Arabidopsis thaliana: one gene and its partners. The protein of the gene in region 3 interacts with the protein of the main gene of each other region in a pairwise test. Each region holds a gene or a part of one and is shown on either strand. Other genes may lie near its edges.

Region 1 (7,627 bases), on a different chromosome or scaffold from region 3:
CCCTGCAGTTGAACCAGAAGGTTGGAGAATTCCTGTACCCTCACCTCCACGATTTTCTTTCTGGTTTACATTCTCCGACATATCTGGAGCAGAGGTTACTAGATTTTTACTGACGATTTGCTCAGCCATTTCCTTTACTATAGGCTTCGGTACATATCTTTCAATTTCCACTCTTTTGCTTTTAGAACTAGTCTGTCCTTGATGCTGACTTTTTGAAGAGGTGCCAAACTCAGGGACAGTAGTCTGACTCCCTCCACCAGTGGAAACATCAGCTTTTTGCTGTGGATGTACTGGAGCCCAAATAACAGCATTGTTGCCAGAAAATTTCTCTGCAGGCTTATTTACCAGTGAGTTTCTTTGAGTCCTACGCACATGTTGAGATTTCCAGTTGTTTTTAGCTCTGTTTTGAGACTCTTCATTAGTGAAGGAACTGATTTGTTCAGACGAATCACCAGACACTTTGATATCCAGGCTTGGAACTGAAACAGACCCCAACTCAATTTCAGCTGCCCTTGCCCTAGCAGTCTCAATTGACTCATCTCCCGATTTTGTTTCTTTTCCAACGGCAACTCTTGTAGTATTCATAGTTGCTGTCTCCTCAGCCTTGTGTTTTTTCTTACCATTCCTGTTATTTTTTCTTTTCGGGAAAGTTGACTCAGCTGAAACGGTTGACGTCGCTGGCATGTCTGAGTTATTGCTTGAGACACCTTCATTAACAACCTCAGGAGACGGGACAACATCAAACACCTCTGCAGTAGCAACAGAGCTCCCTGTCGGTTTTTTCTCAAATATAATATTTTGCTTCTGCTTATAACCCAAGCGCTTCTGTTTTGAGGCACCGCCATCACGTGGAAGATTATCCTGTTGGGAAGGGCCCACATTATTTGCATATTCTGTTGAAGTCCTCGTGTTTTGCGTTGTGTTTTTTCCTGATCCTCCAGTAGGTTCTACGGAATTTGTAGCATTAGATGAATGAGATCCAGGATCTGTTGGCATGTCAGCCGGAGAAGCATTAGATGCAGCTTCCATGTTCTTAACTGAACCCTCCTCATATATTTGGGAACGTCTATTTAACTCTTCTAGTTTTGCAAGAGCCTTAGCCCGCTGATCTCTCGCTCTTTCTTCCTCCTCTTTCTGCCTCTGTTGAGCACGCTGCCTGGCTAACTCTCTCATCGTAGAACGCTTTTAAGGGAACATGGCAAACACTCAGTCAAACCAAAAAAGGATGACTACAAACAAGAGATACATAAAAGTATAAATAACAACCAGAATCATATGAACTAGTTTATACCTGGTTATCCTTTGGGTCTGCTGATATTCCCGACCCAGGCCTCCTGATGGACTCGGTATCCAAAGAGTCATCGACATTAACCTCGCGAAAGCTTTCTGTGTTTGTAGCTAAAGTTGTATGGGAGGAGCCTGACATAACAGTTGTCTTCTGCCAAGCATCATTGCCTTCACTGTTCACTATTCGTTTGGTCTGCGGATCTGCTCTGCCTTGAGTCTGTTGAGTAGGTCTCCTGTAGGTACTAACATCAAAACTTTCCCGACATAAAGGATGGCATAACTGGCCGAAACACAATTGAAAAATGATAACTGACCTGAATATGCTAGTTCCACCCATAGCTGCGGGTTCAGCATTCTTGTTTGTGGCAGAATCACCTTGATTATAGTGTGATGAGTTCTTACTGTCACTTGCATGACCAGTTCGATGATTTCTGGCTGAAACTTTATTTGCAGAGTTCCCAGAATTGAGTGTACGTGGTTGGCTTTCCTGCTCATCTCTATTAACAACAGATGACGAATTTTGCCAACCATCATTAGTTCTAGTTTTTGCATTTAAGCCCTCGATTTTCTGAATCAAACTAGGATCTCCAGGGGCAGCAAGTTCTGCTTTGACTGGTTGTACTTCACCACTTGCGTCATTTCTGATTTCTCTCCTCTCGTTTCTTGAAGTTTGCATCTGTTGAGCTATCTTCTCTGCATTCGGGAGCCTATTTCCAAGAAATTCTTCCCGCTTTGCATTATCTTCCCCAAACCTCCCATCTTGGTGCTTTAGGAGAACCTTGTATGGCCTTTGTGTTTCTTGAGAATGTGATGACTCGTTCCGTTCCAAAGACACTGAACTTCCAGGCGTATCATATCCACCTTGACCAGAATGATTGTTATAAGCATGCGGACCAGTAGGCCTACCTGCAAAAGGTAGGTCTCTGTTGCTGGGACTGCCATACCCCATGGGAGGACCATAGTAGCCTTCGTGTGGCGCTGGACCAACATAAAACCCAGGCCTAGTCTGCATCCTTGGGTGGACATAAGAGTCAAGCATTGGAGGTCTGAACATTCTTTCATTATTAGCGTGATTACCCCTAGGACCAGCCCCATGTCCAGGAGCAGGTGGAACTTGCGTAGGATAAAATGGAAAAGGATCCATGTGAAAACCCCCAGGACCCATTGGGGCACCATACGGGTGGTTCCCTCCGTACCAGCCACCTCCTTGATGATTATTTACTGGAGGACCACGCCAAGCATCATACCGAGGAGGAAAATTAGCATTAGGATAAGATTGTGAACCACGTGAGTCCAATTGCCCTTCCTCTCTACAATGTCTAGGTGCATCTTCACTGTATGGTTGATTCTCTCTTCTCCAGGAATTGGCATCCCCAATCCGGTCATTAGCTTCTGCAAATAAAAGACAAGATATGGTCAAATATAGTGTCCGCGAGAACATCCACTAAAAAGATGTACGGGGAATAAAGCAGTAAGAAGAATTCACATGAACACCTGTGAGGGTAACATGGCCCTCTCATAAGAGATGATTATAAACATAAGTAACTCTCGAAATGAGATGCCAACATCTGTTGTATATCCCCAAAACATAGAAAAATAGGTTTGAAAGTAAGAACCTTCTGTGCAATCTACACCTTGCCCTTCCACAGATCTTCCAGACGAAGATGGAGGACGAGCGTGAGGTCCAGCATCTGCAAATTTGTAGTTTCTAAGAGCCATGTCTAACGTATCTCCTTCATATAAGCACATCACATTCTATCTAGGTAATCCTAAAATTCTCAGTGGCACATATTAGGAGGTCATCTAAGATCGAAAAAGTGGTCAACCAACAGCAAGCCAAAAAAAAAGGTCATTCCCGAAAGTTTTAACTTTGCTGAATATCCGTGTAGATAAACTTCTCAACAGAATTACATTTAGAAGTACCAACTTTCAAAATGAACCCGTCTGTGCTAACGTCACTCCCTTGAAGGCAAGGACGACGAGTATAAGATTGAATTGTGTACAAGTTGAAACAATTTTTTTTTCCTAGTTTACATGCTGATCGTACTTTTTGAAAAGAGCAAAGAGAACTATTCTTAAATCAAAGTACTGTAATGCATGGATGACACAATAATTTTTACTGTTAATAGATGGTACCTTGTGGCCTTGTACTCTTTTCAGAAGTGTCCTTTTCAGCACCAAGGGAAGGAAAATCTCCAGAAGTCAAAGAAAACCCATCATTCTTTGATGGAGCAACTCCCTGTAGAAAACAATGAGAAGTCTAAGAATGAAGATAAATTTCATGGTAGATAATGCAAAGGTGGGTAAATTGTACACAACTATTCTTCAAAAAAAACCTTGAAGATTGAAGTTTGCCAAATAATAATACAAAAACCCTTCCATCAAATTCTATTTGCCCAACCAGAACTCGAGACTTATTGGAGACCATGTGCCACTCAGTTGTCAGATTATCTTACGCACTACAAAGCATTTCTCTAAGAGAAATAAGTGCCCTATAATTTGACAAATTTAGCATCCTAATCTTGTTCCCATAGCAAACACGAATGATGTATCCAGCTATTAAAGTTCTATCTAGATTGAATATCAATCATTAATCCCAAAAAGTAATTACCATTCACAGTCCCAAAAACATAAGAACTTGCTGTGTGTTTGTTGTAACTAAGCACAAGTGAAGTAAGAGAAGAGTGACATGGAGCTTCACAGATGTAAGGATAAAAAAAGATGCTTAGCAGAGTCCCGATAAATATTAGAGACGACTTTAAAGGGAAGAACCATACCAACTTCTCTGGCGCCACATGTTGACCCCATGTTGCAGAAGTCTCTGACACGGGTTCAGCAAATCGGGATAACTGGGAACTTCCTGGTCTTGTGTCTGCACTATGTGGACGCTGTAGTGCAACTGATGGCTGATTAGATGGAAACACCCCAGATGCTGATGAAGGCCGCGAGTTCGAATCCCATGCAACAGAAGAAGAAGAGTCATGTGCTTTGTTACTATCGGCAGTTGAAGGTCGAGTGACACTTCCACCAGAAGAAGGTCGATTACTGAGGTGGCTTGGTGAACCAGGGCCACTTTCAGTTCGTGGTGACAAGGATGATGTCCCCCAAGCATTCAGTGATGATTTACTGCCCCAACTAAGTGTTCCCCTAAAATAGATGTCCAGAAGAAAATTAAACCATCTAAAATTTGAGGACGAAAAAGAATGAGGGAAATAGCATCTCAAACAGGTACAAACTTACTTTGGAACAATTTCTACATTTGGGTCAAGGCCTTGGTTCTCTAACCTTAAATTCAGAAGAGAAGTGTTCAGGGAACGAGATTATACATATATATGAAGTCTAAATGTGATCATGCGCTCATCAAATACCTTTGGCTTGGTAAGTTAATCGGTTTTGGAACAGCAACCTTTCCCAATATAGTCATGCCACTTCTTCTTGTAGTACCCCATCTGCTAATATCCAGCACATGTAATTTCTCATCATCACCACAGAGGATACAAAGCTCTTTAAGTGTAAATGAGCAAAGTATAAATGATTATACAATTTATTAAAAAAACGATCAGCTCTTTACATATGTTTTCTACACACATTTTACAACTTTCCCTTCTTTTAATCTAAATGGTGATGTTGGCATGTTGCAAATCAATAATAATGTTGAATAAAATTATTACAAATACATGGTGAATGTCTATCATGCAAGCAAGCTCTTTCAAAGAAAGAAAAACCACACCCTGAGTTTCCTTCTATACCCCAGGCACATATAGTGATTCTATATTTTAACAACAGTTGGAATATACAGCACAACGAAAACAAGTAATTCATATGAAGAAAAGGCCAAATCAAAAGAAAAATCATGCAAGTAACGTGCAAAGAGGCCAATATATAACCCATAATCCAGTATAAAAACATAGAAAAGTTCATGACAAAGATAAAGTTGAAAGAAGAGAAACCTTCGATCTCCTGTCGTGCTAGAGGTCATTATAAAAGCAGCTACACGATCCAATTACACCACTTGAAACCTGTAAGTCACATACAGAATCAGATTCACAAATGAAATTTGAAGCTCAAATCCCAAAGAATCAAACAAGACCGACACTGAAGAACTATTGCTATAACACTGCTACCGTGAAATGTGTTGCAGAATCAGACTGCCTATACAAATTCTCCAACATGAATTGAAATACTTTCTAAAATTCACCATCATAACAGAAAGACAATGTTCGACAATCAAATTGGTACAGAAACCTAAAAGTATGAAAGATCGTCAAACTGCGGAATCAAAAGAGGTTCCAGACTAAATGACCGCAATACTAAAAAAACAATTGACGTATTCCCAGAATGTTGACAATTTCGCAATCAACTTGCTAGAACAACAACAGCAACAAAAAAAGAGCTCTGAAACATACAAATGTCTCCAGAAATGTCAATCAAGCTCTACAAAAGGACCCAAATTACTTCAAAATGCGATAATTCTATAAACTCATCACTCGATTCCTCTGGAATACAAAGGGGAAAAAAAGGTAGAGAAGAAACTGACCAAAGGGGATTATAGAGAAAATCTGCTCTCTTTTTTTGAATAGAGAGGGGGGGTCCTCGCAAACCCTAGATATTAATTGTGAGAATCGAACGAAGAGGGTGCAGATCGGATGTGTTCCTGGGCGATGAGGGAAAAGGAAGAAGGGGAAGATGAAGGAGAAAAGGAAGGATCTGTGGGAGAAAGAAGAAAGTGATGATGATTGATGAAGATGAAGCTTATTACGACGACGTTCAACGGATTGGTTGAAAGAGGAGAAAGCGTCGAAGTTCAGGGCTGCACGGTTTTACTCAGCTTTTCCTCTCTCTCTTTTTTTTTTTCCTGTGAATTGTAAAATGAATGCCGATTAAAATAAAATAGAGCGAATAAAGGATCACCTATCTCCAAAAAACAAAAATATATATATAAATTAAAAGAGTAGTATTATTCATTAACATCATTTATATATTTACCTACCCATTTTAAAAGATAGCCATAGTTTGACAAAAAAAAAAAAAAAAAGGATAGCCATAAAAACAATACTTAACAAAATAGTTTCCTTTCTTTTACATTTTACGAATGTTAAAAATGGGGGAGAAATTGAATTATGTGGTAGGTTCACTTCTTCATTTTAAGGACATGTTTAGGGAAGTAAGACGATGGCAGGCATGATCAAATGAATAAGGTTTTTTGGGTAATGCTTATGTTTATCTTCCAAACCTCTCATGTTTCTTTGTGGAGTACACTCATTCTAAGGAAAGATCATATATTAATCCGGTGTTTTGTAATCGAGGGTTGGAAGTGTTCGTACATGCACTGTGTACATGGTGCTAGAGGATGATCTTGAGCGGATTTGAGCTCAACGCTAGCTTATTTTTTTTCAAATTTTAAAATTTTGTGTAAATTTTATATACAGAAGATTTTAGATAATGCATAGTTTGATTTTTATTAATTTATTACGAGTAGTCTTAGCATATTTTAAATTTTCGTGCTTTTCTCCAAATTGATACTTAAGAGTTAGAGAGAAAGCCAACAAACTTAAGAAAGTTAGAGAACGAGACACTTGAATGCTTACAAATGATGATCCCACCCCATTTTATACAACTTCACCTTTGATAGAATCATATTCAATAAACAGTAATGTATGAAAAGAAAACAAAAAAACAAATATACTTGAACAATGACCAAATATAATAAACCTCTTGGATCCAGCCCATATGATCTTTGCTAAACTCTTGAACAATTTGGGCCGTGGCAATATGTAGATTTTGGTCCATGGATCATTTATCTATTTTAATGTTACCCTTGCAGAGATTATTTTCTTCTCTTTGTTACTTTCACAATCAACACCCCAAAATATGTTATTACAACAATTTCACCCTAAATCGTTTTGTCCAAATGTGTAAATTACACTAAACATATATAGGGCAAAATATTACATAGTCAATATAATGAGCCTTAAGCTAATCTAATTAGATGTGAAAACAGAGAAGTGACGTAAATCTAGAAAATATTGTTACACATAAAGCATTCACCAGTCTTGTACTAGTAAACAGAGATCCTGAATAAATTCAGTGTCTCACTCGGTTCATGTACTGTCGTTTCCAAGGTCTGCCATTGACAAACCGAAAAGCTGAAACTCTTCACGCCAAAGCCAAAATACAATAACTTTTTCCCAATGGGAAATATCTTTTATCGTGGAGAGAAACAAACAAAGAGCTTCGACCTAATTACACATTCTTCTTTTTCAGTTTACATATAAAAAGCCTTCTAGCGATCCTTTCACTGTGGCCAATTTGTTCTGTGACCTTTTGATCCTCTGCCTGC
Region 2 (4,799 bases), on a different chromosome or scaffold from region 3:
CTGCTATGACTTGCAATTTGTGATTTTAGATTGTGGAGATATACCTTCTGGTCTTCAAGAGGAGTGCCTTTCACTGCAAGTAGAGCATTAATGGGAACACTCTCAGGGTGAGAAGGAAGTGTTGCCAGCGTGTGTAATAAACCTATTCTGTCTTCCTCTGCCTCACCAAGCCCTATGATTCCTCCTGTTTATCGGTAAAAGAAAACACTTGAGAACATGTCGTATCTATGGATTTATCAAAATCAACGAATATTACAAAACTGTGAGTCTAATGACCAAGCTGAAGACAGGTTTCAATCCTTTAGTTCTATAGAATTGAGGCATACAAGAATACTATTTTCATATCAAAGTTACCTGAACAAACGTTGATTCCAGCATCACGAACATGGCTAAGAGTTTCAAGGCGATCGTCATAACTTCTAGTAGTGATGACGTTTGGGTAGTACTCTCTTGAAGTATCAAGATTGTGGTTATAAGCAGTGAGGCCAGCCTTCTTTAGCTCTAGTGCTTGTTGTTTCTCAATCATGCCTAAGGTGCAGCAAACTTCCATCCCCATGCCTCTGTTTTAAAGTGAGAGCCCAGAAAGTTAGTAAACACATTCAGCCAGACACCATCATCAACATCATATTCATTCTGCTCACGGATACATCAAGTACACTTTGAAATTTTCACTTTAGTTTGACATGCAAAAATGTTCATTCTAGAACCATTAATGATCGGTTCGGTGGGTTATCTTTTAAGTTAGCTTAGATTCAGAAGCAGCTGAAAAAGGGATCATATAATGTAGTATAAACAAGGAAATTCAAAGTTCAACTTAAAAAGCATAATAGTAAGGTACCTTATTTCTTTGATGTATTCAAGAATCTGGCTGAAGTTGGTTTTCCGTCCAATTGTATCTCGCCAAGCAGCACCCATGCAAAAACGTGTGCTCCCAGCTTCTTTTGCCTAACAACACATCAAATTTGTTAATTCAAATCAGAAGAGCTCATTACATCGTCAAAATGCTTCATTAAACAATTAGAGTCTTTTGGATAGAGATAGAGCTCGGATTGATAAAAACAACGTTTTGGTACATAGTAATGCATGTCCCCTTCTTCTTGATACATTCTGCTAAGGATTCTACATTCAGCAAAAATAAACATTCACAAGAAAAGTGCAAACCTTCTTAGCAGCATCAATGACAGCGTCCTTAGACATGAGTCTTTGTGCCTTAACTCCAGTGCTATATCTCGAAGACTGAGGACAATATGAACAGTCTTCACTACAGCCACCAGTCTTTATGGAGAGGAGGGTACATTGTTGTACCTCCCTGAAGTTATGAACATGTCTATGAACCTGAGCCTGAAACCCAAAGAGTCCACACACCATCGTTATTCAAGTAAAAGACAACTGATAACGAGATCAGATGAGCAACCAAATGAATAATACCTAGCTCAATAGACATTACAAAGACACTAAAATCCGGGAAATTAAGACAAATGTTTCAAAGAGAACAAACATGTTCTGGGTTAAACTAAAAATCGATACTTTCCACCAATAATTTAACAGAAACCCAAAGCTTTCTACTTCAAATTTGTGATTTAGAGTAGCTAGAACAACAAAGAGAAGAGTAAGTGAGAGAGAGAGAGAGAGAGAGAGAGAGAGAAGAAGAAGGGTAAATTACTCCATGGAAGAGGAGGTCAAGAAGAGGAGAATCATAAACAGACTTGATTTCATCTCTACTCCAATCGTTTCTGGGACCTTCTCTGATAGTCCTCTCAGCTTCAGCTGAAGCAGCAGATAATGAAGAATAGCAAGAAGCAGATTGCAGACCACCCGAGACAGAGGGTCGCAACTGAGATCGAAATACAGATCGAACAAGCATCATTTGATCTGCTAATCAGAAAATGTGGAAAAAGAAGAAGAAGAAGAAATGAGATTTGGTGTTTGGTTTGTGCTAGAGCTTTTCACTCTTCAGTGAGTGATTCACCTAACCCAAAGCAGCCACCGTTGGAGTTTCCGCCTTCGTGTGGGACCTACGAGAATATCATATATCTTTAACTGGGCTGTAATAAGCCCAATTTATATGTTGGGCTTTTTAATAGTAATCAATTCAAACGACGACGTTATTCTTTATTTCCTTAAACAGCCGGAGCCGCCGTGAGAGAGAGAGAGTCGGGGGAGAAGAAATGAGCGGCGGAGGAAACAACGTCGTGAACAAAGTGTTCTACGCGACGTCGTATCATCCGATTCAAGCCGGAAGTATCGACGGAACTGATGTTGCTCCACATGATAACGGCGTCCGTCGAGCTCTTCTCTGTTATAACGCTGGCTTATGTATGTATACTCTCTCGTTCTCTCTGCTCCTCTTTTCACTTTTATCGTTTGGTTTCTGAATTCAAATACATTGATTTGGGTTGTTTTGAAAGATGATCCTTCTGGTGATTCGAAGGCTGTTGGAGATCCTTACTGTACTCTCTTCGTGGGTCGTCTCTCTCATCACACTACGGAGGATACACTTCGAGAGGTTAATGATTGAAATTTCACTTAGTTTTTGATTTTCGTGTAGACTATGTTTTGAATATGATTATAAAAGTTTCTTCTTCGTAGGTGATGAGTAAGTATGGCAGGATTAAGAACTTGCGCTTGGTAAGACACATTGGTAAGATTTTGCAATTGCTCTACTTATGACATCAACACTTTGCTTTATCTTTAGGAAATTTATCATCTTTCTATTTCTGATGGTTTGTTACTTTCTACCAAGATATTTGTCTAAGCAGAACTGTGATTACATATTTCCTCTAAGTTCCACATTGTGTAGTATTGAGTCTCCTCTTCTTGTTACCTTTTTTTAGTGACGGGAGCTTCACGAGGATATGGTTTTGTGGAGTATGAGACTGAAAAGGAGATGCTTCGTGCTTATGAGGTGCTGTGATACTAAATTGCATTTTCTTTTTACCTCTTGTTTTTGTTGTTGAAAGCTGTCTGAACCACTTACTAAGGCACCGCAATGTGATTGTTTCATTAACATCTCCGTGTAATTACTGGAAACTAGTGGAGTTTGTTTATCAGAGTGAGAATTTTTTTGGTGTTTCTTTAGCAGGATGCTCATCATTCACTAATAGATGGGCGAGAGATTATTGTTGATTATAATAGACAGCAATTGATGCCTGGATGGATACCAAGAAGACTAGGTTTGCCATTCTTTACCTTTATTTTTGTCTGTAATGAAATGTCATAGGCGTTATATTTTCATCCCTTACAGATGAAATCTATTTCTCTCTTAACAGGAGGTGGCCTTGGTGGTAGGAAAGAATCCGGACAACTTCGCTTTGGAGGACGAGATAGACCATTCCGTGCTCCCTTGTATGGTTTTGCTTTACTCTTCCTTTAGCATGTCCAGAGATAACACCAGCTAAACATAGTGGTCATGAAATGGGCATTCTTTCTATTTGTTAATATCAGACGACCAATCCCTCATGAAGATTTGAAAAAGCTCGGTATTCAGCTTCCGCCTGAGGGAAGATATATGTCGCGCACACAGGTCTACCATGTCTTGAACTTCACCACCACTCTATAGTCATTTGAACTTTACCCCTGTTCTGTCTCTGGTGCTATCTTATTGGGTCATTTGTTAATGTTCTTCTGCTAGAAATAATATATTAAATGGGTTGTTCAATGTGTCTAGTGGAAAGCTGATAGTTTGTAAACTAAAATCTTGGTACCACAACTTACTTGTTGGATGCAGATCCCATCACCTCCAAGGAGAAAAGGAAGTGTGTCGGATAGAGAGGAAGAATATTATCGGGAAAAGAGTTCTGTAGAACGGGAAGAAGAGTTTAAAGAGCGAAGCAGCCTTAGGTCATATCACAGTCACAGGTCGAGCGCACACACACACAGTTCTCATAGAAGACGCAGCAAAGACAGAGAGGAGTGTTCCAGGGAAGAGTCCCGTTCTGATAGAAAAGAGAGAGCACGAGGTATGGAAGATCGATATGGTGACAACAAGGGTGAAGTTTCTGGCAGCAAAAGATCAAAACGTTCTGAAGAAGACCGATCTCGCAAACGTCATAAACACTTGCCTTCCCATCATCATAGGAGGTCCTATAGTCAAGATCATCATTCTTCCGACTAAGTAATCATATTGTAAAAAAAATAACAATAATATTTGGTGTTACAGATTTTTTTTTAATAATATTTGGTGTTAGAGACTTTTAAGAGTGCCTTTTGAACCAAAGAAAAAAAAAGTGTAGTGTATGTTAATCAAATATAGCAAAACAGAAATTGTCTTTTTTTTTTAGTTACAAACAAGATATTTGTTTTGCAATTAACATGAGTGAATTGTCTTTATATCTTAAATTATGGCCGTATAGATTTGATTGTTAAGATATAAAAAAATTTGGGATGATGCAATTTGTAATTTATCTAAATGGATAAAATAGTTCATCAAATATTATTATTTTTATGAACTATGACATTACAGTTGGATTTGTTTCTGTAGTTTATCTTATATTTCTTTTTTTAGAACTAATGAACTATTATTATCTTATATTTTGTTTTGTATTGAATTTGTTCGAATATAAAAACTCACATTTGATGTTGAAATAGAGATTTAGTTTGTCTGTGTAGATACTAGATAGTTGTTGTATCAACAGACAGAATTGAAACTTGGTTTCAGATTCTTGTTTTGTTTATTCAAACTCACTTTGATTTGATTGTATTTGTACCTCTCATGAATTGTCTATTAGGAGGATAGAGAGTCGCCTCAGATTGACTAGAGACAATGTCATTCTCGTACTCGTTGCATGCAAGTGGAATAA
Region 3 (5,806 bases):
TTGCTAAGGAAACTAATCAAATGGGAAAGATGGAGATTACAACAGACCTATGATGAGAAGAGCTTTGATAGGACCATGACCGTACGTTCTGTAGAAGATTTTGATTGCGGCATTGTTAAGCGTCGTCTCTGGGCCGACATCTTCTTTCACGACCTCGCAAAACGGCATCGCTTTTTTTGTTCTCAAACTCTGATATCTGGGTGGGATCAGATTTTGAATAACCGGAGAGGAGAAGAGGAGAAGAAAGGAAAGGACTTTTCTATCGGAAGAGAGAGAGATTGGGTCTGTGGTGTGGTTCGGTTCGGTTTTTTGGGTGGAGGTTAGGACTGCCACGTAGGATTGGTCGGCTGGATTTTATTGGCGGGTAATATCTAACAAAGGTCAACGGTCAAATTTTTTACACGAGAAAACTATGTTGTATAGAAATATAGCACGTGAAAAACGCTAGAAGTAGAAGTAGTACTACGTCAATGGAATTCATATGCATCATATATAAGAGAAGCGATAATGGGTCTGAACACAAGTGGAGCATTAACCTAAAACAATAGCAACTTAGACCATTTGTTGAAGTAGTCACTACACTATTTTAATCTCCGGTTCAATTTGTTGAACTTTATAATGTTTTGCTATTTTGATCCGCGTTGCTTTATATTATATTGGTGTGGTTTCAGGAGAAGACAGATCGAGACACAAAACAAGGCAAGATCGTTACTGACATTTTATGCTGGACACTAGATAATTGTTCACCAGGACATGTGATAATAAAACCTCCATGACTTCGTGGCTGCTTTTTCATTATATATAGTTTAGGTCACCATCTTGTCGTAGCACAACCTGAAAACGCAATACCTTCTCCTGAAACGGAAAATATTTGTTGGGAAGACCTATCATTTGGAAAGTACTTATGCCCGTCAAGGCTCACAATTTAGACGAAACGATCCACCAACAACTTAAGCTTTGAGTCTTTGACCATAAGTGCGAGACGATTTTCTTGTATTGTTAATTTGTTATTGCTTGTTTTTGTGAACTGATCCTTAGTTTTTTTTTTCATCAAAAGTGATCATTTAGTTAAAGACTTAAAGTGCAATGAGAGTTTGGTTTCTTTATTTTTAAACTCTTGAAAAATTAATTTTGTCAATGAAGCAATACAAATTAAATTGCTGAAAAGGGATAGTAAATCGTTTTTTGTCCTTACGGATTGGTGATGAAAATGGTATTCAACGGATGCAATACTTAGATGCACCAAATGATTTTTACCATATGCTAAACTTTAACACTAAACCAATTATACTTTACCTGGTAAATATTAAAAGGATTTTTTGTTTTCCAAAAACAGTTTTAGTATATGTACTTAATTACATAATACCGCGGTTAATAAATAGTTAAAAATTAAATTAGAAAAAAACACATACGTGTCTACAGTTTTAGTCTCGTACATAACACGAAAAATCATCTAATTGGTTACGTATTAATCATATCATTTTTACCTATTAGAAAAAAATTATTTATACATTTTTAGTATCTACTAATACGTTACGTGAGCACAAAAATTCATCTTCATCAGTGCTAATAACTATGCGAAAATCTGATGACGATTCATTTGTCTAACAATTTATTTAGCTTAATACGAGTTTTTAAAGATGAAGCATACCCAAATTTCCCAAGAGACCAAAACGACAACGTTTGGGAGTAGCTAATATCGTAGTTAGCGCACGCCACTAACATCACCCATTGCACGGTCTCTCTCTACTCTCAAACTTCAAAAAGCTTTGGCTTTTTAGATTCACAGGAAAGAACCCTCAAAACACACAAAAAGCTGGTGATTTTTGCATTGCACCGATTCGCCTCCATCGATTTTGGACATTCTTGAATTCTCCCTCCAAGTATTCCTGTGAAATTGACCGGAAAGTTCCTTCCTTTTTCAATTTCCGGTAAAAAGGAAAGTAATTGGGTACTGTAGACTTCCTTCTAGGGCTTGTGAACTTTCTAATCCTTCAGAAAACCCTCGAATTCGAAAAATTTGCTGCGAGATTGATAAATGACTAGTTAAAGATTTGAACTTTGATTTCTGGGTTTGCGATTTTATTCAAATGGAGAGATCTAGATCCAAGAGAAACTACCACTATGACCAAGACTATGACGGAGATTCCATGCCTAGGTCTAAACCTCGCTACAACAATAATTACCACTTTGGTGGTGGCGGCGGAGGAAATAACAGATACCGTGGCGGCGGCGGTGGTGGAGGTGGAAATGGCCGGCCATCGAAGTCTCATCCTGAAACGATGGCAACAACGACTTATCGAATCCTCTGTCACGACGCTAAAGCAGGAGGTGTTATTGGTAAATCCGGGACAATTATCAAATCTATAAGGCAACACACCGGCGCGTGGATTAACGTGCACGAGCTAGTTCCTGGAGATGCAGAGCGTATCATTGAGATTTCTGATAATCGTAGGCGTGACCCTGATGGGAGAATGCCGTCTTTCTCTCCTGCTCAAGAGGCTTTGTTTAGTGTTCATGACAGGATTTTGGAGAGTGAAGCTCAGTTTGGTTATGGTGGACCTCCGCCGGAAGAGGAGGAGGATTACGGTGGAGTTAGACCTGGTGGAGGGAGAGTTGTGACTAGATTAGTGGTTTCTAGGATGCATGTTGGTTGTTTGTTGGGTAAAGGTGGGAAGATTATTGAGCAGATGAGGATTGAAACTAAGACTCATATTCGGATTCTTCCAAGAGAAAGTAACTTACCTCGTTGTGTTTCACTCTCTGAAGAGATTGTTCAGGTCTGAAAAATTGCTATTTTGAGAACATATTTGAAATGGTGAATCTTGTTGAGATTTTGATATGAAATGTAGTCAGTTTATTGAAATGCTAGATAATTTAAATGTGTGATTGTGAGGTTGAGGTTGTTGACAAGAGTTGAATCACTCTTATGTAGTTAGCTTGGTCATTATTTGTTATGTTTAAGCTTTCTTTGGTGTTTTCTACCTATGGGAAATGCATTTATAATGTTGGTTCTTTCAGATTGTAGGTGAACTAAATGCAGTGAAAAACGCTTTAGCCATTGTATCATCTCGTCTAAGGGAGAGTCAGCATCGTGATCGGAGTAATTTCCAAGGGCGTTCACATTCACCAGAACGGTCGTTTGCAGCTGCGGGGGATGATTACATGCCACAGCTAAGAAGACAATCATCCGATAGGTTTCCTCGTGGTAATTTTAGAAATAACAACTTCAGTTCTCGCCAGTCCAACTATGCAGAAGAAGCTCCAGCAGTTCCAGTTGGTGAGAATGTCTACTCCGAAGAGCTTGTGTTCCAGATTCTCTGCCCAGCTGACAAGATTGTTCGGGTTGTTGGGGAATCGCAAGGAATAATTGATTTGCTTCAGAACGAGATCGGCGTGGACGTTAGAGTATCTGACCCAGTTGCTGGATCTGATGAACAGATAATCACCATTTCTTCGGAAGAGGTACTCTAAATACCCTCAGATCTTCTTCAATATTATCTGTTACATTTACAATTGTGAACTTGAAGTTTTGTATTCTTACTTTGCTTAGGCACCTGATGATCCATTTTTCCCTGCTCAAGAAGCCTTGTTGCACATTCAAACTCAGATCATAGATCTTATTCCGGATAAAGATAATTTAATAACAACAAGATTACTTGTCCCATCTAGAGACTCTATATGTTTGGAAGGGAAAGCAGGATCAGTATCTGAGATATCACGATTAACTGGAACAAGCGTACAAATTCTAGCTAGGGAAGAAATTCCCCGATGTGCTTCTATCAATGATGTTGTTATACAGGTATGTTTGTCTATTTTTGAGGAGTCGAGCATTTTCTAAACAACTTCTGGTCTCAAAAGAGAATTCTTATGTGAATGTCGATGTAGATTACTGGCGAGATCAGAGCTGCTCGGGAAGCACTTGTTGAATTAACATTACTATTGAGGAGTCATATGTTCAAGGAGCTCTCTCAAAAGGAGACACCACCAGCTTCCACATCCACAACTGGCCCTCTCGAAGGTGTTGCAGGAGTAATGGAGGTAGCTTCATCAAATAACACAATTCAATCTCGTGAAGGTCCTACTAGTTCGAATCTGAACTTGCAGCAAGTTAGCACAATCTTGCCACAGTTTAAGGTTTTTGTTCTCATCAACAATCTTTTCAATATAAAGGCATCTGTAATCAGTTAGGGTCAGACTTATTTTTGCCATCGAAACAATGTAATATTACTATCAGGCTATGCATAATTACCTGAATACTTGGAAAGTAGTCTATGGTTCTTGTCCATTCGTGCAATGTCCCTATATTTACATATATTTTTCTCTTGGTTTTTATAGGAAGGTTTCGGATCAGTTGCAAAGGCGGGTGAAAGTGAACACCGGGAAGAGGTTCCTGTCACGACAAGCAGGTAGAGAAACTCCCAAATTTGATATATTTTCCCAAAACCGTACAAGTGCTTGTTTCACACCTTTCCTTCCTGCTTTTTGTTTTTTTCTCTAGAATGGCGGTACCACTTGTTACTAGAAGCACTCTTGAAGTTGTCTTACCAGAGGCGGTTGTTCCTAAGCTCGTTACGAAATCAAGAAACAAGCTTGCACAAATCAGTGAGGTAGAACTCTTTTTAACTGGAACTAGATTGGTGCAAATCATGACTCTAATCAAAATCTTTGACGCTTTGTCTTATCTCTTTCCCACTTGATCACAGTGGTCTGGAGCTAGTGTAACCATAGTTGAAGACAGACCAGAAGAAACACAGAATATCATTCGAATTTCGGGTACACCCGAGCAAGCAGAGAGAGCTCAGAGTTTGCTTCAAGGCTTCATTTTGAGCAGTAAGTTTCTCTCTTTCCAAACTTTTATATCCGTATTGTACTGATCTATAAGTCTGATTTCCGTTCCTTGTTTGGTGCAGTACAAGAGGATGGACCGTGAACTTGGACCAGATCATCAGTCAACACAGAGATGAAGATCAAGAAACTGAGAAATGTGGAGTTATGTATGACTTGTTGAATATTAGGATTTCAGTAAGCAGTAGTTTAGATGAACATTCCACATTTTGACCATCACTCTTTGGTTTCTATGTTGTCTATTAGTCTTCTTTGTTTACATTGTTCTGTAACTTATTTAAAAAAGTCATTAAAGTTTAATCCGAATGACTAATCATTAAAGACTCATCTTTAATTCACACCACCCCTATGTATATTGGAAGAACTTAAACGCTGCGTTTCACTTGAGTTAACATCATTGAGATTGGGGTGTTTTTGCCCTAGATAAAGTTTAGGGTGAAAACATAGATAAATCTTAAGTCGTATTTTACAAAAATAGCCACTGCTAAAACCTCACCTGCGGCTTCACCTTTCTTCGAGTTCGTGAAAAAGAGACGTCGCATCGCACCGCCGTCGCCATTTCCACCGTCGTAGCATTGCCGCTTCACTGGTGATTGATTCTTCCTTAACTTCTCTTTTTGTTTTCTCTGTTCTCTTATATCCGTCGTTTTCTAGGGTTTTCTCACTCCTTGTTGTGGAATCTCTCTTTGTAGACTGTCGCACTGAATATTGTTGAATCGAGAAAATGGCTTATGTTGGGCAAAGTAGAAACGTGATTCGGCATGTAGTCTCGAGAGGAACAGCTTATCACAAGTATGAAAATGCGATTCATCATCCTCTCCTTTTCGCTTGTCAAGGAGTTCGATACAGAAAATTAGAAGTTATTCTTACAACGGTGAGGTTTAATGATTCTGAAAGGCATGATTTTTATCGTTTGATTTTGAAATTTCCTTCACATTTCGTTGGGTTGAATTGAAAT
Region 4 (4,482 bases), on a different chromosome or scaffold from region 3:
TCAACTAGATTCCCTGACATTTGGAAGAATGTAGAACAAAAATCGATATACAACACAAAAGTAGAAATGTGGTAAGAGTGTTGAGAATCAGAAAGGGAAAGAGAAGAAACCTGATGTAGAATTATTCATGAGGATGAATGGAATGCTGTGATGGGGGTCTTCATGATCATGATTGAGAGAGCTTTAAAGCAAAAGAAAATGGTAGAGAAAGAGATAAGAGGAGAAGAGAGAAGACGAGCTCACCATGATCGAATGGGGGAAGTCAAATAGGCAATGGCAGCTGGATTGCCGCTTACCAACCTATAGAAGAAGCCTTTTATAATATTTTATTTTGTGTTACACCCGCTTGCTTACTTATATCAATCAATACCTTAATAGAGAACGCGTTGTTTATTAAAAAAATTTCCCCGTGTATATTCACCATTTAATCTTTAAGGTACGGTTTAGAAGAGAAATTCAAATGAACTTTCCTCTTCTATGGAAGCTTCGTGTAATTTATCTAAAACTATGTATAGTTTTAATTTATTAAAAATTGATAGTCAAATTATAGAAAATATTTAATGTTGTTGAAATAGGTGGTACTCGAAACGTAAGAAAAAATGATGAGGTGAGGAAAAGCGTTGGAAAGAAACTTTGGGGGTGAGAATTTTTGGTATAGAAGAGACGTACATTATGGAAGTAGAGAGACTAAGTGTCAGCTATTTGAGAATCCACCTATAGCTATCTCAAAACTAACTCCACACCTAAACTTGCATCATCTCAACATCTTCCTCCTACCTACTCTTTAACTCTTGGTTTCTCTTACTTGGTCCAGTCTTTCCACTATTGAACTTCCAAGACACCAACAGTCGCGTTGTAAGTCTGTCTATTTACTTCATTTGACGAGAGCATAGTGCTCGGTTATCTGCAAGCGAATACAACATAATGACTTCAGAAAAAAAACCATCGAAGCAAAACAGGTTCCTACTTAGTGAAACCAAACCCACATAATACATATCCTAATTTCTTTACCTGTTTTTTTTACTGCTATTACTCCACCTCATTGTATTCAACCACTGCATCATAAGTCTCCATCGTGAGTATACTCTCCGCAAAACATCTGAAAAATGTTTTCTTTCTCATCAGAAATAGTATATGACCAAAAAACCTAAACCAAACAGATATCAGCTCTATCATCTGTTCAGACTTACAAGTCACTAGGTTTAGGTTGCCTATGTGTTTTCTGTACTACTATACTAAACCTGTAACTACTTGAAACTCTGAAAAAACCCTAGCGTATAAAAATCTTACCTTAGTTCATGCCAAAATATATCCACCTTATCAGACAAGAATTTTCGAAGAGAGGAGACTTCATCTTCCACCAACATCCCGGTCTGCCCGGTTTGTCGATTATTCTCTCTCTCAAGCCTTTTGATGAAAAGAGCTGACGCAAAATGAACAATAACTGAGGGATCAGGATCTCCAAGGACTGCCTGAAGCTCTCTTCTAATCCATGGCTCAATTCTTTCAGTTATCTTTGCTTTGGTGTAATCATTCACCGCCAAACTCTACAATAATCCAAGATGACACAACGAAGCAGGTATATATAAGGCTTCCAATGTGAACATATATCCAATAATGTAAGAGTGTAAACCCCAATACTACAAACATCAAACAGAGAAGAACACATTGTATAATGAAACTTACTAGTTCCAAGCGCCTTGAATGTAATCGAACAGCTCGTAATTGCTTAGTGTATATGCTGTATTTAGAGCCAACACTAGTTAGAAACAACGGCGAACTAATCTAACACTTCGAAAAAGGAGATTGCAAATGAAGCTATAGAGTTAGAATCAATAGTAAACCAACCTAGCTCGCCACTGAAGCTTTCGCTGGAAGATAACAGAATCAGGAACTGAACCTGGTCGTCCAAATGATCTCCGCCATGGCAATGGCCTTGATCTTGAGCTAGAGTTTTCCAAAACATCCCTCGACCTTTGAATTATCCTAATGAAATAATAACCAAGTGAATATAATAAAGAAGTGATTTTTAACTTCATAGAGAGGATCTTAGAGAGAGAGATAACCTCCGGCGATCGGAAGGATTATTCCGATGATAAGTTAAAGTCTCACGATCACGAAGAATTGGTAATTGCTCCTTATGGTATTTTCTAGAAGCAAAATCACTAACGATAAACCAGGAATCAAAACGAGTGTTACAAAGAGGACAATTCCTCTTGAAGCTGCTCCACTTCCGAATACAAGCAAGGCAGTATCCGTGCTTGCACACCGTGATCACGGCGGCGGATCTTCGCTCGGTTAGATTTTCGAGGCATATCGGACACGATTTCCCCTGTAAAGCAGGAAATATTGCTCTCCCTGCAAATTTCGCGATACTTTCCGGCGATCGAAGATGTCTCGAAGACGAAGGCGCCGTGGAGGACGGTAATGGAGGCATGACCGGAGATAGAGATTGTTCGGTGAAGTCGGGCTCTTGGAAAAGTCGGGTTTTAATGAACCGAGATGGATTTCAGATAGATAACCGGTTAATGTCGGTTTGGGTTGACTCGGTTCGAGATTTCTTGTTTCAAAATGAAGAGCGAGCGTGAAGGATCTTTTACTTCATCGCTGCTCCGAAGAAAAAACTTCACCATTGCCACTAACGACGAACTCTCTTGTCTCTGAAATGGAGGTTCCAAAGGAGCAGATCGCGACTTTAATAGAGCATGGGCTTTACGATTCTGCTGAAATGCTCGTAACTTCTCTAGCTTTTAGCTCATTTTGATTGTCTATCTCTTTTTTTCTAAATCCCTAGTTTTCATCAAGAGCTAATGAAATTCTCTCTATATATGCAACTAAATCCAGGGCTGCTTTCTCGTTTCTTCTCCTACTGTTAGTGCCGAAACTAGTCCTCAGCTCAAGGCGGAGAATTTGGTTAAGCTTCTTTCTCCGTCGATATTTTCTATTTTAGTAGCTGCTGAGTCCGTTAGATTGAAGTTAGATTCTTTCTGTGTTTTTTAATCAGATTCTACTGGGTGATGCTTTATTTCATCAGAGAGAACACCGGAGAGCTATTGTAAGTTCTCAAAAGTTTCATTCTTTATGTTTCTCTTTTGCTGTGAAGGAAATGTTACTCAGTTCTCGATAGTTTAGTTCTGCCTCAAATTTGAACTCTATAAATCATTCTCGGAACTTGAATTTGACTGGATTATGATAAAATTGTAAAGATTCTGATTATATGAATTTATGGAGTGAGCAGAGATAAGTTTTATATTTGTATTGCTTATTCTTTTCCTGTGGATTACTTTGAAGTCATCTCGAAATTCTGAATATGTATTCCTTCTTTTTGTCAGCATACGTACAAGCAAGCGTTGCATCATTACACAAGGATTCCGAAGCAAAGCTCCGGTATTTCGAGGAGTTCATTATCTTTATCTACCAGATCATCTGTGAATGCCTCCAGCATTTCTGCTATTAATGAGAACGAGGTAAATAACTGTGTTGCAGTTTCCAGAAAGTGATGTGGTTTGGTTTAATTTCATTGGAGTTCATGTGCATCTTCTTTTTCTAACTTTCCTTTTAGGTGAGATTCAAGATTGCTTCATCTCACTTTGCTCTTAATGAAACAAAAGCTGCGATTGCTGAGGTATGAGTGTCATCTGTTTGTCTGGTTTTCAAGATTTATTTAGTCTTCTGGATTTGTTGGTCTAGAAACTTTGGTATATAGAAAATAAAATATGTGTGTATGAGACGGTAAAAGAGCTGTCTAGGGATTTCTCTATTTCTAAGATTATAGATTGGTTTTGTATAGGATGACTTTTATGTCTTGCTATTGTATTTTATAACCAGAGTTAAGTAACTGTAATTTCAGTGAAACATTCTTGGGCCGTAACTAATGCATTGTTATAGTATTCCTGAATGTGAGTTGAATTTTGTTGCGTTGACCTGCTCCCATCAATGCAAATCCATATTACAAAACAAGTAAACTAATTGGATTCCTTCCAACACTGCATGTAGGTATTAGGGATGATAAAGCCATGGTCTGCTTAGCTATAATCTATTTTTGCACTTGTTATTTCTTTGCCAGATGGAATCTGTCAAGACCAGGAGCTTAGAGATGAATATACTGATGGCAAAGCTTCATCGAAATTCTGGATACAACCGTGGTGCTATTGCTTTTTATAAAGAGTGTTTAAGGTCTGTTTTTCGTTTTCTTTCCCAACATTTCCTAGCATAGAAACACTGTTATAATATCTCACTTTTTACGTTAAATACCAATTCAACACATAGTAAACATATATATAATCTTTAATCTCTGCAGGCAGTGTCCTTATGTACTTGAAGCCGTCATAGGTTTAGCTGAACTGGGAGTTAGTGCAAAGGATATCATATCATCGTTTACTCAGGTGTCCCTTTCTACGAGATTTCTTTCACCACTTCTTCAAATGTGTTTTGCACCTCTTTCTCTCTATTTTGCAATTACCTTTTCTGTGTGAAATCCAT

Evidence for each region.
Region 1: the proteins of RCF3 (region 3) and MOS1 interact in a two-hybrid assay, tested with the Arabidopsis thaliana proteins (one large-scale study listed by BioGRID).
Region 2: the proteins of RCF3 (region 3) and AT2G43370 interact in a two-hybrid assay, tested with the Arabidopsis thaliana proteins (one large-scale study listed by BioGRID).
Region 4: the proteins of RCF3 (region 3) and AT2G39100 interact in a two-hybrid assay, tested with the Arabidopsis thaliana proteins (one large-scale study listed by BioGRID).

The regions. Positions count from the first base shown.
Region 1 is NC_003075.7:12,731,064-12,738,690, reverse strand, and holds the start of MOS1 (modifier of snc1), read right to left. Parts: upstream 6,014-7,627; 5' UTR 5,889-6,013; exon of another isoform or gene 5,825-5,888; intron 5,307-5,824; 5' UTR 5,267-5,306; coding exon 5,238-5,266; intron 4,740-5,237; coding exon 4,656-4,739; intron 4,573-4,655; coding exon 4,528-4,572; intron 4,435-4,527; coding exon 4,065-4,434; intron 3,527-4,064; coding exon 3,424-3,526; intron 3,021-3,423; coding exon 2,904-3,020; intron 2,680-2,903; coding exon 1,602-2,679; intron 1,521-1,601; coding exon 1,292-1,520; intron 1,183-1,291; coding exon 1-1,182. UniProt on the Arabidopsis thaliana protein: Involved in the regulation of the chromatin structure and DNA methylation at the SNC1 locus. Regulates the expression of SNC1 at chromatin level.
Region 2 is NC_003071.7:18,011,263-18,016,061, forward strand, and holds AT2G43370 (RNA-binding (RRM/RBD/RNP motifs) family protein), read left to right. Parts: upstream 1-2,005; 5' UTR 2,006-2,168; coding exon 2,169-2,316; intron 2,317-2,408; coding exon 2,409-2,506; intron 2,507-2,589; coding exon 2,590-2,641; intron 2,642-2,834; coding exon 2,835-2,905; intron 2,906-3,082; coding exon 3,083-3,173; intron 3,174-3,269; coding exon 3,270-3,345; intron 3,346-3,444; coding exon 3,445-3,523; intron 3,524-3,727; coding exon 3,728-4,114; 3' UTR 4,115-4,268; downstream 4,269-4,799. Other genes in the region: BIO2 (Radical SAM superfamily protein), read right to left, coding at 45-184, 355-560, 839-945, 1,162-1,341, 1,664-1,867.
Region 3 is NC_003076.8:21,513,265-21,519,070, forward strand, and holds RCF3 (RNA-binding KH domain-containing protein), read left to right. Parts: upstream 1-1,631; 5' UTR 1,632-2,090; coding exon 2,091-2,780; intron 2,781-3,021; coding exon 3,022-3,465; intron 3,466-3,553; coding exon 3,554-3,802; intron 3,803-3,888; coding exon 3,889-4,137; intron 4,138-4,338; coding exon 4,339-4,409; coding exon of another isoform or gene 4,410-4,413; exon of another isoform or gene 4,414-4,441; intron 4,442-4,501; coding exon 4,502-4,610; intron 4,611-4,706; coding exon 4,707-4,833; intron 4,834-4,913; coding exon 4,914-4,933; 3' UTR 4,934-5,283; downstream 5,284-5,806. Other genes in the region: AT5G53050 (alpha/beta-Hydrolases superfamily protein), read right to left, coding at 48-168; AT5G53070 (Ribosomal protein L9/RNase H1), read left to right, coding at 5,573-5,722. UniProt on the Arabidopsis thaliana protein: Acts as a negative regulator of osmotic stress-induced gene expression. Involved in the regulation of thermotolerance responses under heat stress. Functions as an upstream regulator of heat stress transcription factor (HSF) genes.
Region 4 is NC_003071.7:16,315,417-16,319,898, reverse strand, and holds AT2G39100 (RING/U-box superfamily protein), read right to left. Parts: upstream 2,544-4,482; 5' UTR 2,438-2,543; coding exon 2,067-2,437; intron 1,987-2,066; coding exon 1,849-1,986; intron 1,742-1,848; coding exon 1,687-1,741; intron 1,548-1,686; coding exon 1,291-1,547; intron 1,100-1,290; coding exon 1,030-1,099; 3' UTR 1,012-1,029; intron 905-1,011; 3' UTR 512-904; downstream 1-511. Other genes in the region: AT2G39110 (Protein kinase superfamily protein), read right to left, coding at 111-129; APC7 (tetratricopeptide repeat (TPR)-containing protein), read left to right, coding at 2,666-2,734, 2,845-2,913, 3,005-3,055, 3,333-3,467, 3,563-3,625, 4,067-4,176, 4,301-4,385.